2 linked regions of the Drosophila melanogaster genome follow. The protein of the gene in region 1 purifies or fractionates together with the protein of each later gene. This does not show direct contact. Each region holds a gene or a part of one and is shown on either strand. Other genes may lie near its edges. The genes, in order: viaf and CCT7.

The links.
Region 2: the proteins of viaf (region 1) and CCT7 purify together in Drosophila melanogaster (affinity purification with mass spectrometry, with the first as the bait; one large-scale study listed by BioGRID). This does not show direct contact.

What each region holds. Positions count from the first base shown.
Region 1 is NT_037436.4:11,991,353-11,995,013, reverse strand, and holds viaf (viral IAP-associated factor), read left to right. Parts: upstream 1-1,834; 5' UTR 1,835-1,969; coding exon 1,970-1,975; intron 1,976-2,144; coding exon 2,145-2,861; 3' UTR 2,862-3,161; downstream 3,162-3,661. Other genes in the region: Grip163, read left to right, coding at 1-949, 1,012-1,261; CG6931 (uncharacterized protein), read right to left, coding at 3,169-3,531, 3,604-3,661. UniProt on the Drosophila melanogaster protein: Modulates the activation of caspases during apoptosis.
Region 2 is NT_033777.3:8,799,740-8,806,941, forward strand, and holds CCT7 (chaperonin containing TCP1 subunit 7), read left to right. Parts: upstream 1-1,824; 5' UTR 1,825-1,938; coding exon 1,939-1,941; intron 1,942-2,119; coding exon 2,120-2,380; intron 2,381-2,446; coding exon 2,447-3,266; intron 3,267-3,339; coding exon 3,340-3,663; intron 3,664-3,731; exon of another isoform or gene 3,732-3,825; coding exon of another isoform or gene 3,826-5,387; intron 5,388-5,452; coding exon of another isoform or gene 5,453-5,759; exon of another isoform or gene 5,760-5,962; intron 5,963-6,043; exon of another isoform or gene 6,044-6,053; coding exon 6,054-6,280; 3' UTR 6,281-6,495; downstream 6,496-7,202. Other genes in the region: CG9839 (uncharacterized protein), read right to left, coding at 3,826-5,387, 5,453-5,759; hng2 (hinge2), read left to right, coding at 6,627-6,840, 6,894-7,202.

The sequences.
Region 1 (3,661 bases):
TGCCAAAGCCCGTTCTTGCAATTGCTAAACCAACTAGCTTATTGCCGAAACTGGATTTTGGAATGAAAGATGAAAGGGAGACGGAACAGGACAGAGATAAAGTTAGCACTTTGCCCGAGGCTTGCAATCCGTTTATGGCCCGCCGCTGCCTGCAGCTCTCCGTAATGGCGCCCCTTAACGCATACTACGGACTGCTCCGAAATGAAGTGCTGAGAATATTCCAGGAGCAGCGTATCTACGAGCATTTCCGCAAGCTCAGAAACTACTTTTTCCTGGTGGACGGTCAATTTGGAGCTACACTCACGAACGAAATTCTAGGAAGAATAAGGGCGGGCGTTGGGCCACGAAGTCTCAGCCAGAAGGGCATCCTTGACACCATTTTAACCAATGCGCTGGCGGCTTGTTCGGCGGATGAAACGACGGTATCGGAGAACCTTACCCTCAATTGTACCACCATCCCGGATACGCTCAACTTCCTGTCCGTGGAAGCCACTTCTATGCTAAAGCTGAACTGCAAGATTGATTGGCCTTTAAACATGGTGATCAGCTCGGAGACGATTTCAAAATATGGCCAGATCTTCGGGTATCTGCTGAAGCTTCGTCACGTTAGTTTCGTGCTGGATGGAACCTACGAGTATCTGCAGCAAATGGGCAAGCTTCTGGGACCGGAACTTCGGACATGTACTCATTTCCGACACATGCAGATGATGCGCCACAAGATGTCGCACTTCATGACCTCGTTTCAAACGCATCTGGTGGCCAAGGCCCTGTTGTCCACCTGGAAGAGCTTCAAGGAGGAGTTGTGCACAGCCGATTCCATTGAGGCGTTGTACAAGCAGCATGTTGCCTACTTAAAGCGGGTAGCCTTCCTAGCACTGCTAAATCGACGCAGTGCGAAAGTAAAGGAAACCATTGATAATATCCTAGTGATTATACTACGCTTTTGCAAGTGAGTTTACGTCTTAAATAGTCTGCTGATTCATTTTATTCTTTAATTTAAATGTTTTTCAGAGTCATTCAGTCGCAGTCCTTTATTGTGGATCAAGATAATTACTTTGTGCACCCCCGCTTCAAACGTCTGCAGCAGGAAGAGGCTGAGTTCGAGAAATTCTTGCAGTATCTCATCTATTTGGGCAACAAGGCGGCCGCTTCTGGTTACCAGGAGGAAATCGGTGACCTGATTTGTATTATTAACTTTAACCACTATTACAAGGTATCTGGGAACCATACTGGTTCCTCAATGGAGGACAAAAAGTGCTAGCCAATAATTGTTAGATAGGGAATTTATCTTGCCATTAAGCTGAGCTTAGAACATTTTAAAAAATATTTATGCATGCATGGCGTCTCCTAAATGTAAAGCTTCGGTGAAGAAAATCAGCTTTAAAGGCATTTATTTCTTAGTACTATTTCTTTAGTTTCGGTTAACAGTTTTGTTGTGTTGTAAGTTAATATTAATTTTCAAATAACCGGCTCAAATTAAAAGAAAATAATTTAATTAGTAACATCTAATAGTGTTTTAATTGAACTCGTATTAAATGCCGAAAAAACTGTTTTGAATATTTATCCATATCATTAATAGATTTCTGTTTAATATTTAAGAAAAACTTTTAAAAGAGACAATTGTCTCTAAAGTAGAATGTACGTATTAAATATTGTAATGAAACCAATGTCGACATGATTTCTTGAAACTGTTGATTCGAATTTATAAATAAATGTGCTTATTTATGTATGTCTTACCATATTTAATATTTAATATTTAATATTTAATTCAAACGTATGTAAGGTATCGCTTCCCTATCATCTCTAAGTGACTGTGCGCGTACGATGTATCGGTATTCGCTCCATCCCTGGTCATGAGTCACTTCGTGTAGAATAATTCAGTTTTATTTTTAGTTTATAAAAGCGCTGCACGCGATCAAGAATTTTATATTTTTAAGTAATTTATTTCATCGAACTATAATCAAAAAACATGCAGGTAAGATGGACTGTTATAAGCAAATTATATTTATTATCCGAACAATAAGGTTTTTCCATTTCGATAAATGGTAATGGTGGGTGTGTTTTGGTGCATCCAAAAATAAACCCCATATTTGGTATTGAAAATCATGAATGAAATGAAACTCACGTGGCCTTGTTGTCCATAGGACCCAAACGAAGATACCGAGTGGAATGATGTGCTCCGAGCCAAGGGAATAATTGGGCCCAAGGCGAAGGAGGCGGAGATCACAGAGGATCAGATCCAGAAGCTGATGGACGATGCCATCCAGCGGCGCACAGATCTGCCACTGAATGAAGGCCAGCGCGACAAGAAGATCGACGACATGTCGCTGGACGAACTCGACGAACTGGAGGATTCCGAGGACGAGGCTGTTCTAGAGCAGTATCGCCAGCGACGCATCGCCGAGATGAGGGCCACCGCTGAAAAGGCGCGATTTGGATCAGTGCGCGAGATCTCAGGACAGGATTATGTCAACGAGGTAACCAAGGCCGGCGAGGGCATCTGGGTGGTACTCCACCTGTATGCCAACGGCGTACCGCTGTGCGCACTGATCCACCATCACATGCAGCAGCTGGCCGTCCGCTTTCCACAGACCAAGTTCGTGCGCTCCGTTGCCACCACCTGCATACCAAACTTCCCCGAGAAGAACCTGCCCACCATCTTTATCTACCACGAGGGTGCGCTGCGCAAGCAGTACATAGGCCCACTGGAGCTGCGCGGCGACAAGTTGACCGCTGAGGAGCTGGAGTTTATGCTGGGTCAGGCGGGAGCAGTGCCCACCGAGATCACGGAGGATCCACGGCCGCAGATCAGGGACAAGATGCTTGCCGATCTCGAAGACAAAAGCTCGGACTTCTACTGAGTCATAGCCAAAGCATAGCCCTCATCCAACTTTAAGTTCAGTGGGGTGGGTAAATATTTTTAGGATGAATCATCAAGTAAAGCCCAATCCAAAACCGGCAAGCGGATCTTTTTTTGCGGATTCACTTAACTAACAAATCAAACATTTAAACGCAGTTTGAAACGTAAACATCCGCCGTTGAGAGCGAACGTTATTGATTTATATATTAACCAGTCCTCAGGAATTTCCCTTGCACGTTTTCATTTCATTGTTTTTTGGCATTTATGTACCCTCATAAATAAATTGTTTACTTTTCTACAGAAAGTCACTATTTATGATTTTGTTTGGTGCTGGTAGCCGTTGCTTTTGCCACGCTTTTTGGTTTACCCCGAAAAATGTTCGGATCAATGATATTGTACGGATGCTCGCAAGCGGGATTCAGTACTCGTCCACGTCGTGGCTCGTGCTCCTCGAGAAGATGAGGTGCTAGCAAAAGAAACAGCTGCTCTGTCCAAGAGGGCAGGCCACAGGTGGAGAAGCACAGCTCCCAGTACGGCAGTCCCAAGTGCGCGATGGCCATCCGAAGGTATTCACTAAAGGTGTCCGCCAAAAACTGCCAGCTCAGGGTGCTCAGCTCTAGCAGATAGAACTTGGGATTGTTGGAACTGGTAGATTCGTACAGCATACACACCTATCAGAGGAGTATTTTGGAATTAATCATCAGCCTTCTCTTGCGTCTGAACTACTTCGATTAAGTACACACCTTGGCCACCTCGTTTACGTTGTTGATCTCAAATATTTTCGATTTGGCCGTTATAATA
Region 2 (7,202 bases), on another chromosome or scaffold:
TCAAATATATTCACACAGTTCGTACAGGAAGTTCGAAATTATATCAATTAAGTTACACAAGTTCGTCGGAATAGAAGTGAGTTATGTTCGGTTCGTTTGGGGAGTATCCTAATTAGTTGCAATCAATTTGAATTGTAAATTAAAAGAAGTGTTCTATACTAGGTAAATTTCGTTGCTCGGCGATAGCAGAGATCTTTCGTTTCGGCCGGACACCGATTGACTAACTCGGCCTCTCGAGCTTTCGCAAGCTCTTTCACATTTGCCTCCATTTCCATTTAATTAAAAGGAGCTTTGCCATTTATTCATGCACTTCTTGGGGTTATGGGGTGGCAAAGCTCGGGTCTGTGTGCGTGCCCCGAAGAATGGCCGACGTGAAGCCGGAAGAGCCCATCTATTGAAAGCCGAAGATGTTTTCCTCCCGGTTCCCGACTTCATAACAAAAAAAAACCAGTCGCGTGTTTATTAATAACCAAAATATGCACACAACCCGCCACGAAATTGGTCAAAATAACAAACAGTGAAATAAAAGATATCGGAACTTCAGGTTGATTGGATATTAATTCGGTATAAGTTTGATAAAGTAATGATAAAATTCAGTTAAATTGTTATATCTGTGTAAACATTGTTATAAGTACTTCCGCATGATTAAGGCGCGTTGCTCAAACATATATCAGCACAAAGCATTTGTGCTAGTTTAAGTTTAAGAGCAATCTGAAGACGTGACATTAAAGCTGTTGAAACGTGCATCTATTATTATATGTTTAGACCAGAAGTAAATAAATTTGGTAATAAACATACTTGCAAAACATTTAAGTTGCTCAACTTTTTTATAGTCTTTTTATGGCAATTAAAATTTCATACTTTTAATTTCGATTTAAATGCCAAACGTATTGCGTATGAATATCTTTATGTCTATAATCCCCAACAGCTGAAGAATCTTCACAAATCACATACAAATTTGACAATCGCCTTAACGACGCGATGAATGATGGACACAATTAGAACACATTCCGATTCCAGTCAGTCAACACAGGGGAAATCTAAATAAAAGCACAAAAGGGGAACAAACTTTGCACTTTGATTTGAGTGCCTTATCGTGTGGGAGCCCCACTTCACTTTTCTTTTTCTTACTCACTATTTGCATTTTTCATAGTCGGTTCAGCATCCTGATTTGTTTCATAATCACTCGGCAATTGTCTAGTATCCGGTTAGTATCCATTGGCATCCCTTGTGGTTCGATGTCGTCGTTAAGAGGAGTCTTGGGCAACTAAAATTCCAATTCCACATGACCGAATTAGATTTAGAATGCTTTCTTTCATTTAAACCTATTTGCGGTTGAATGTTCTGGCGTTTTGGCCTTTCAAATGACTCTTCTATTTTTCATTTAATTGCTGCTCGGTGCACAACTCACTCAAGTTGAGCGGTAGGAACAAACTGAAGATGCGGCGCACTTTCTAAAATGGAATAAGCGACATGCGTGCGTGCATCGCCAAATTTATATAAATAGAAGGAATCACAAATCTATATTTGAAGTTGGGAGCAATTTCAAAAAACCGCTCGCCGGTCAAGAGTGACGTCATGGAGCCATCGATAACTTTTTCGATAACAACTACCAGCTGCATATCATATTAGTTTAAAATGTTCATCAAAAAGTGTGGAAACTAGCTTTGTACCATAAAGTTAAAAAATCGCAAGATAGAAATAAATAGATAGTTTTTTATGAGTTAGGATTTCAAATTTCATTGTAAAGTGCGACTAAGTCCCCAAACGTTCACACTGGCTGCAAGCATCGATTAAATACAAAATAACAACGATTAATCGATTGGCCCATTACTCATCGCGGAAAACGTGAACGAAAAGCAAGTTGCCGCCTGTCTGCTAGGAACTTTATTGTTTTAAACTGTAATACGTGCTAAAGGCCAACCCCATCACATAAATATGGTAAGTCCGGCTGGAAATAATCCGAGGCTAACCAAGTGAATCCCAATCATGGACTCGTCCGCGAGCGGCATGAGATTGTAAACATAACCTGCAAAGAAGCTTCTCGCAAGCCGACGACATCTGCTGACTAATTGGAGACTTTTACTATATATTCGCCTTATATCCGTATGATCCGCAGCAACCGCAAATCGTGCTCCTCAAAGAAGGCACTGACTCGTCGCAGGGCAAGCCGCAACTGGTGTCCAACATCAATGCCTGCCAGTCGATCGTGGACGCAGTGCGGACCACTCTGGGTCCCCGCGGCATGGACAAGCTGATTGTGGATGCCCACGGCAAGGCGACGATTTCCAACGATGGAGCCACCATCATGAAGCTGCTGGAGATCATCCACCCGGCGGCCAAGACCCTGGTGGACATTGCCAAGTCACAAGACGCCGAGGTAAGTGATTGGCACCCCTGAGACGCACGTGACACTGCTAAAGCTTTGATTCGACTTCTCCTTCAGGTGGGTGACGGCACCACGTCCGTGGTTCTGCTGGCCGGCGAGTTCCTTAAGCAGGTGAAACCCTTCGTGGAGGAGGGAGTGCACCCACGAGTCATCATTAAGGCCATCCGCAAGGCCCTGCAGCTCTGCATGGAAAAGATCAACGAAATGGCCGTCCAAATTGTCGAACAGTCCAAGGACCAGCAGCGTGCTCTCCTTGAGAAGTGCGCAGCCACTGCCATGTCCTCCAAGTTGATTCACCAGCAGAAGGACTTCTTCTCCCGCATTGTAGTCGATGCTGTGCTCTCCCTGGATGAGCTGCTGCCCCTCAACATGATTGGAATTAAGAAGGTGACCGGTGGCTCGCTGGAGGAGTCACAGCTAGTGTCGGGTGTGGCCTTCAAGAAGACCTTTTCCTATGCCGGCTTTGAAATGGCCCCCAAATCCTATGACAACTGCAAAATTGCCCTGCTCAACATCGAATTGGAGCTTAAGGCTGAGCGCGATAACGCCGAGATCCGCGTAGACAACGTCAAGGAGTACCAAAAGGTGGTCGACGCCGAGTGGCAGATCCTCTACAACAAGCTGGCTAAGATCCACGAGTCCGGCGCCAATGTTGTCCTCTCCAAGCTGCCCATCGGTGATGTGGCCACACAGTATTTCGCCGACCGCGACATATTCTGCGCCGGCCGCGTTCCCGAAGAAGATCTTAAGCGCACCATGAAGGCTTGCGGTGGAGCCGTAATGACGACGGCCAACGACATTAAGCCCAATGTACTCGGCCTGTGCGAACATTTCGAGGAGCGCCAAGTGGGCGGCGAACGTTTCAACCTCTTCCAAGGTAAGAATCTTATTCGTATACTTAATTGAAGGACTCGTTTTAACAACCACTTGTTATTTTCCATTTTAAATAGGCTGCCCCAATGCCAAGACGAGCACCCTTATTCTGCGTGGCGGTGCCGAACAGTTTCTGGAGGAGACTGAGCGATCCCTCCACGACGCAATTATGATCGTGCGGCGCACCATCAAGCACGATTCCGTTGTGGCCGGCGGCGGTGCCATTGAAATGGAGTTGTCCAAGCTGCTGCGGGACTATTCGCGCACCATTGCCGGTAAGGAGCAGCTGCTGATTGCTGCCATCGCCAAGGGCCTGGAGATCATTCCTCGCCAGCTGTGCGACAACGCCGGTTTCGATGCCACCAACATTCTCAACAAGTTGCGCCAGAAGCACGCCCAGGGTGAGTGTCCAATGGTATTTGTCCATACAAAGCCACCTTAACGATGAGTGAATTTGAAATTTATATTTGAAAGGGGGAAGGATAAGTTTTTATTTTAAAGAACTTGTGTGTGAAACTTTAAACAAAAAACATTTGTTCCTCTTAACGAATGATAATCCATTTTTATTCACTTCGTCCAATTGTCTGTCTGATTACTTTTTTGAGCTGCTCATGCCAGAGAAGGAAGCAGGGTTCCTGGCATAGACCCGGCTTATCGGGACAGGTGTTGCACATGTACCTGCTGAACTGCAGCATTCCGCCTTTGTGGCAATAGCGGCAGTTTTTCTTGGCCGGCTTCCCGTTCTGCTGGATAAGCATGGGTTCGTGTAGAATGGTCTTCAACCTGGGCTCGGGCACCGGCTTGTTCTTTGACCGTTCATATGTCTCTGGCTTCTGGATACTAGTTACCGGTTCGTTCGTCACTTCTTCTCTTAGAAGCGACTTTATGATGATCACCCGGAACTCCGAGTAACTTTTAAGATGTCCGACTCGCGCATTCTGGCCATTAGCAAAGTATAGCAAATAGGCATTGTACACGAGGATGTTGAGTAGGAAAATGGTCAACTTTATGTTTGCCTTCAGCTCCTTGCAGGCAGCTTGGTAGTGGATCAGGTGGTGGCGACCGTCGTTTCCAGGTCGTAGTTGAAACTCGAGCTCCTGGATCAACTTAGGTTTTGCATTTGTCTTTTGCATGGCCATCTCCTTGGAATAAATGGCCAAGCAGTCAGAGCTGAAGCAGTACAAGCTCTTTGCCCGTCGTCGCCATTTGGCCATCATCAGAGAAGTGGCATAGCTGGTGGAGATGCTGTTGGAATCCAACCGCTGGTGCACCAGTGCCTTACTGTTGCCATATCTATTCCTGTCCAGCAGACCAGTGCAATAGGTGCTTTTCTTGGCCAACTCCTGAGCCAGGCCGTAGCTTCCATAGAACTTTGAGGTGTACACAGTGCGTCCTCCATGGTAACCCTCCATTAGTTTCAGGACAATCTTGTTTCGGTGCTCCACCAACTGCCGGGAATTGCGTACCCATGCCGGTGCGTCTTCCTTCCGCACAATCTCCGGTAGAATCTTCACCACCAAACCGCTCTGCTCAGTTAGCATATGCAGCAGTAGTGCGTTGGTGCGGAATTTGTTTGGAAGTTCATCCTGGTATCTTAATGCACCCTTCCACAGAGTGATAGGTTCATTGAGCACCAGTTGCTGGCCACAAATGTATATCTCTTCCATACGCTCGTTGATAAAGTCTAGCAGTAGAGAGTTCTTCACTTTGGCTCTGCCCGCTTGTAGCTGCGGTGCATCAAAGTTAAGGCAGTGCAGCAGCTGCTGATACCGTTCCAGAGGAATCTTCCCAGAGAATCCGACGAGACCGTAAAACATGTTAGTGCTCCAGTAATCCGATAGGTGCTCCAGCTTCAGGTCACACATAAGCAGGGAAAGCGCCATAAAGATTTCCATTTCTTCGGCAGTTGTGGGATTGGACTTGAGCTCTCCTCCCTTTAGGTTGCAGCTTTGGGCCAGGGAACTGAAGAACTTGGAGCGATTTCCCAGCACTTGGTTGAAGTAGTGCTGTGGTCCCTGGAAGCGTTGTCCGAATTTCAGGCCACTCTGCTGGATGGGAAATTTGAAGAGCAGTCGGGAACCCGTCTGCTGGCTGGACCAATCTGGATCGTAGTCATCCATATCGTCTGGGTTTAAAAAGGATAATTTTATAAGTGGGGTCTTGAAATGACGGGAGGAGCACCCTTCTTACCCTGACAGAAGACATCTTCAGCTTGGTAATCGAGCTCTGAGTAGCCATCCTCGTCGGAATCACTCTCTTGCTGTTCCAATTCCAAGCGAATGGTGTTGCTGGCCGCCTGCTGCTCCGCCACCAGCTGCAATTGGAGTTCAGTGAGATCCGGCTTGATATCGGCCGTACTTAAATCGTAGTCTGCTAGCGCCGGATAGCCGTCCAAGGGTTCCGACTTGATGTCCACACTGCGTCGCTTCACCGGCGACCGGTGATCGTCCTGACGCGGCTTAAGTTGCTGCTTGCGCTTTCTTCCGGAGCTGGACATTTCGTTTGGCTGCGTTTTCTCTTCCAAATAATGTAAATACAGAGGAAATTTTAGCCGCAGCAACGCGTGTTTTTCTTCGACCTCACTGTCACTCGTCCTCTCTCACTCGAGTCACATGTGCTGTATGTTGTGCTCTTTCGCACCTTCTCAATTCGTTTATTGCGCGGGCTGTAAGCGGCGTTGCCACCTGAACGAAATGTTACCTGCAAAAATCGTTGGCGAATTCAAATCGGTCGTGTAATTTTGAACTCTAATTAATAATTATTATAATTTTATACATTTACCTTTTTACAGGAGGACAGTGGTACGGCGTCGACATCAACAAGGAAGACATTTCGGACAACTATGAGCAGTGCGTCTGGGAGCCGTCCATCATTAAGATCAATGCACTGACGGCGGCCGCCGAGGCAGCCTGCATGATCCTTTCCGTCGATGAGACAATAAAGAGTCCCAAGGCCGGAGAACCCCCGATGGCCGGCGGTGGCATGGGAATGGGCCGCGGAATGGGCAGGCCCATGTAAATAGAATCATTCAGAAATCCAGAGAACACTACACCCTAATCATCAAAACTCACTTGCATTTCTCTCCTAATTTAACACGTACACGTATTACTCGGTCATACCTTCGCATTTCGCACGCTTCGAAGCAAGAACAACAGCAACAATAATCCACTGACCTATCTGTATATGTTTAATAATAAAACACAAAATTGAAATTTGTATTTTCATAACATCAGAACGTTTTTAGTTTAAATGCGGGGCGAGGTGGCAACTCTGCGGGGAGTGCTGTTAAGCAGCTGCCCGTGGTGCTGTTAAACGCAAGCAACATATTGTCAATCCAATCCAACCCTTAAATAAACAATAAATAATGGGCAATCATAAAGTTCTTCGATCGGCAGGAAGCAATTTGCGCTATTCGATGTACGAGTTCATTGACGCGGTACACAAACGTTCTATTATATGGGAACGAAGCCACCCAAACTTCCATAACCGCGAACTCAGAGATGAGGCCTGGCAGCAAATTGGCCACGAGCTTTGCTCGAATTTTGACGACTCCAGCGAGCCGGAGAAGCAGGAAATAGGTAGGTGGTGGCTACCTTTTTGAGTCTATATCATACATAACTTCCAATTCCAGTTAAAACACTGCTCAAACGTTGGAAAAACACGAGGGACAGCTACCTACGGGTCAACCGACTACGTCAAAGTGGCGAGGAGGTGGCCAGAGCTTCCTACATCTACGAAAAGGAACTGAGTTTCCTGCTGAACGTGAAAGCAGAGTCGGAGGACGATGTAGAATCCTTGAAGGAGCAACCCAAGCCCCAGGCCAAACGGAAGCGAGTGAGCACTGCCGCACAGAGATCTGCAAAGACTCCACGAAAGAGAAACTCCGACCAAGAATCGAATATTGAGCCTGCCATCCGCAATCCAGCCATACCAAGCAACA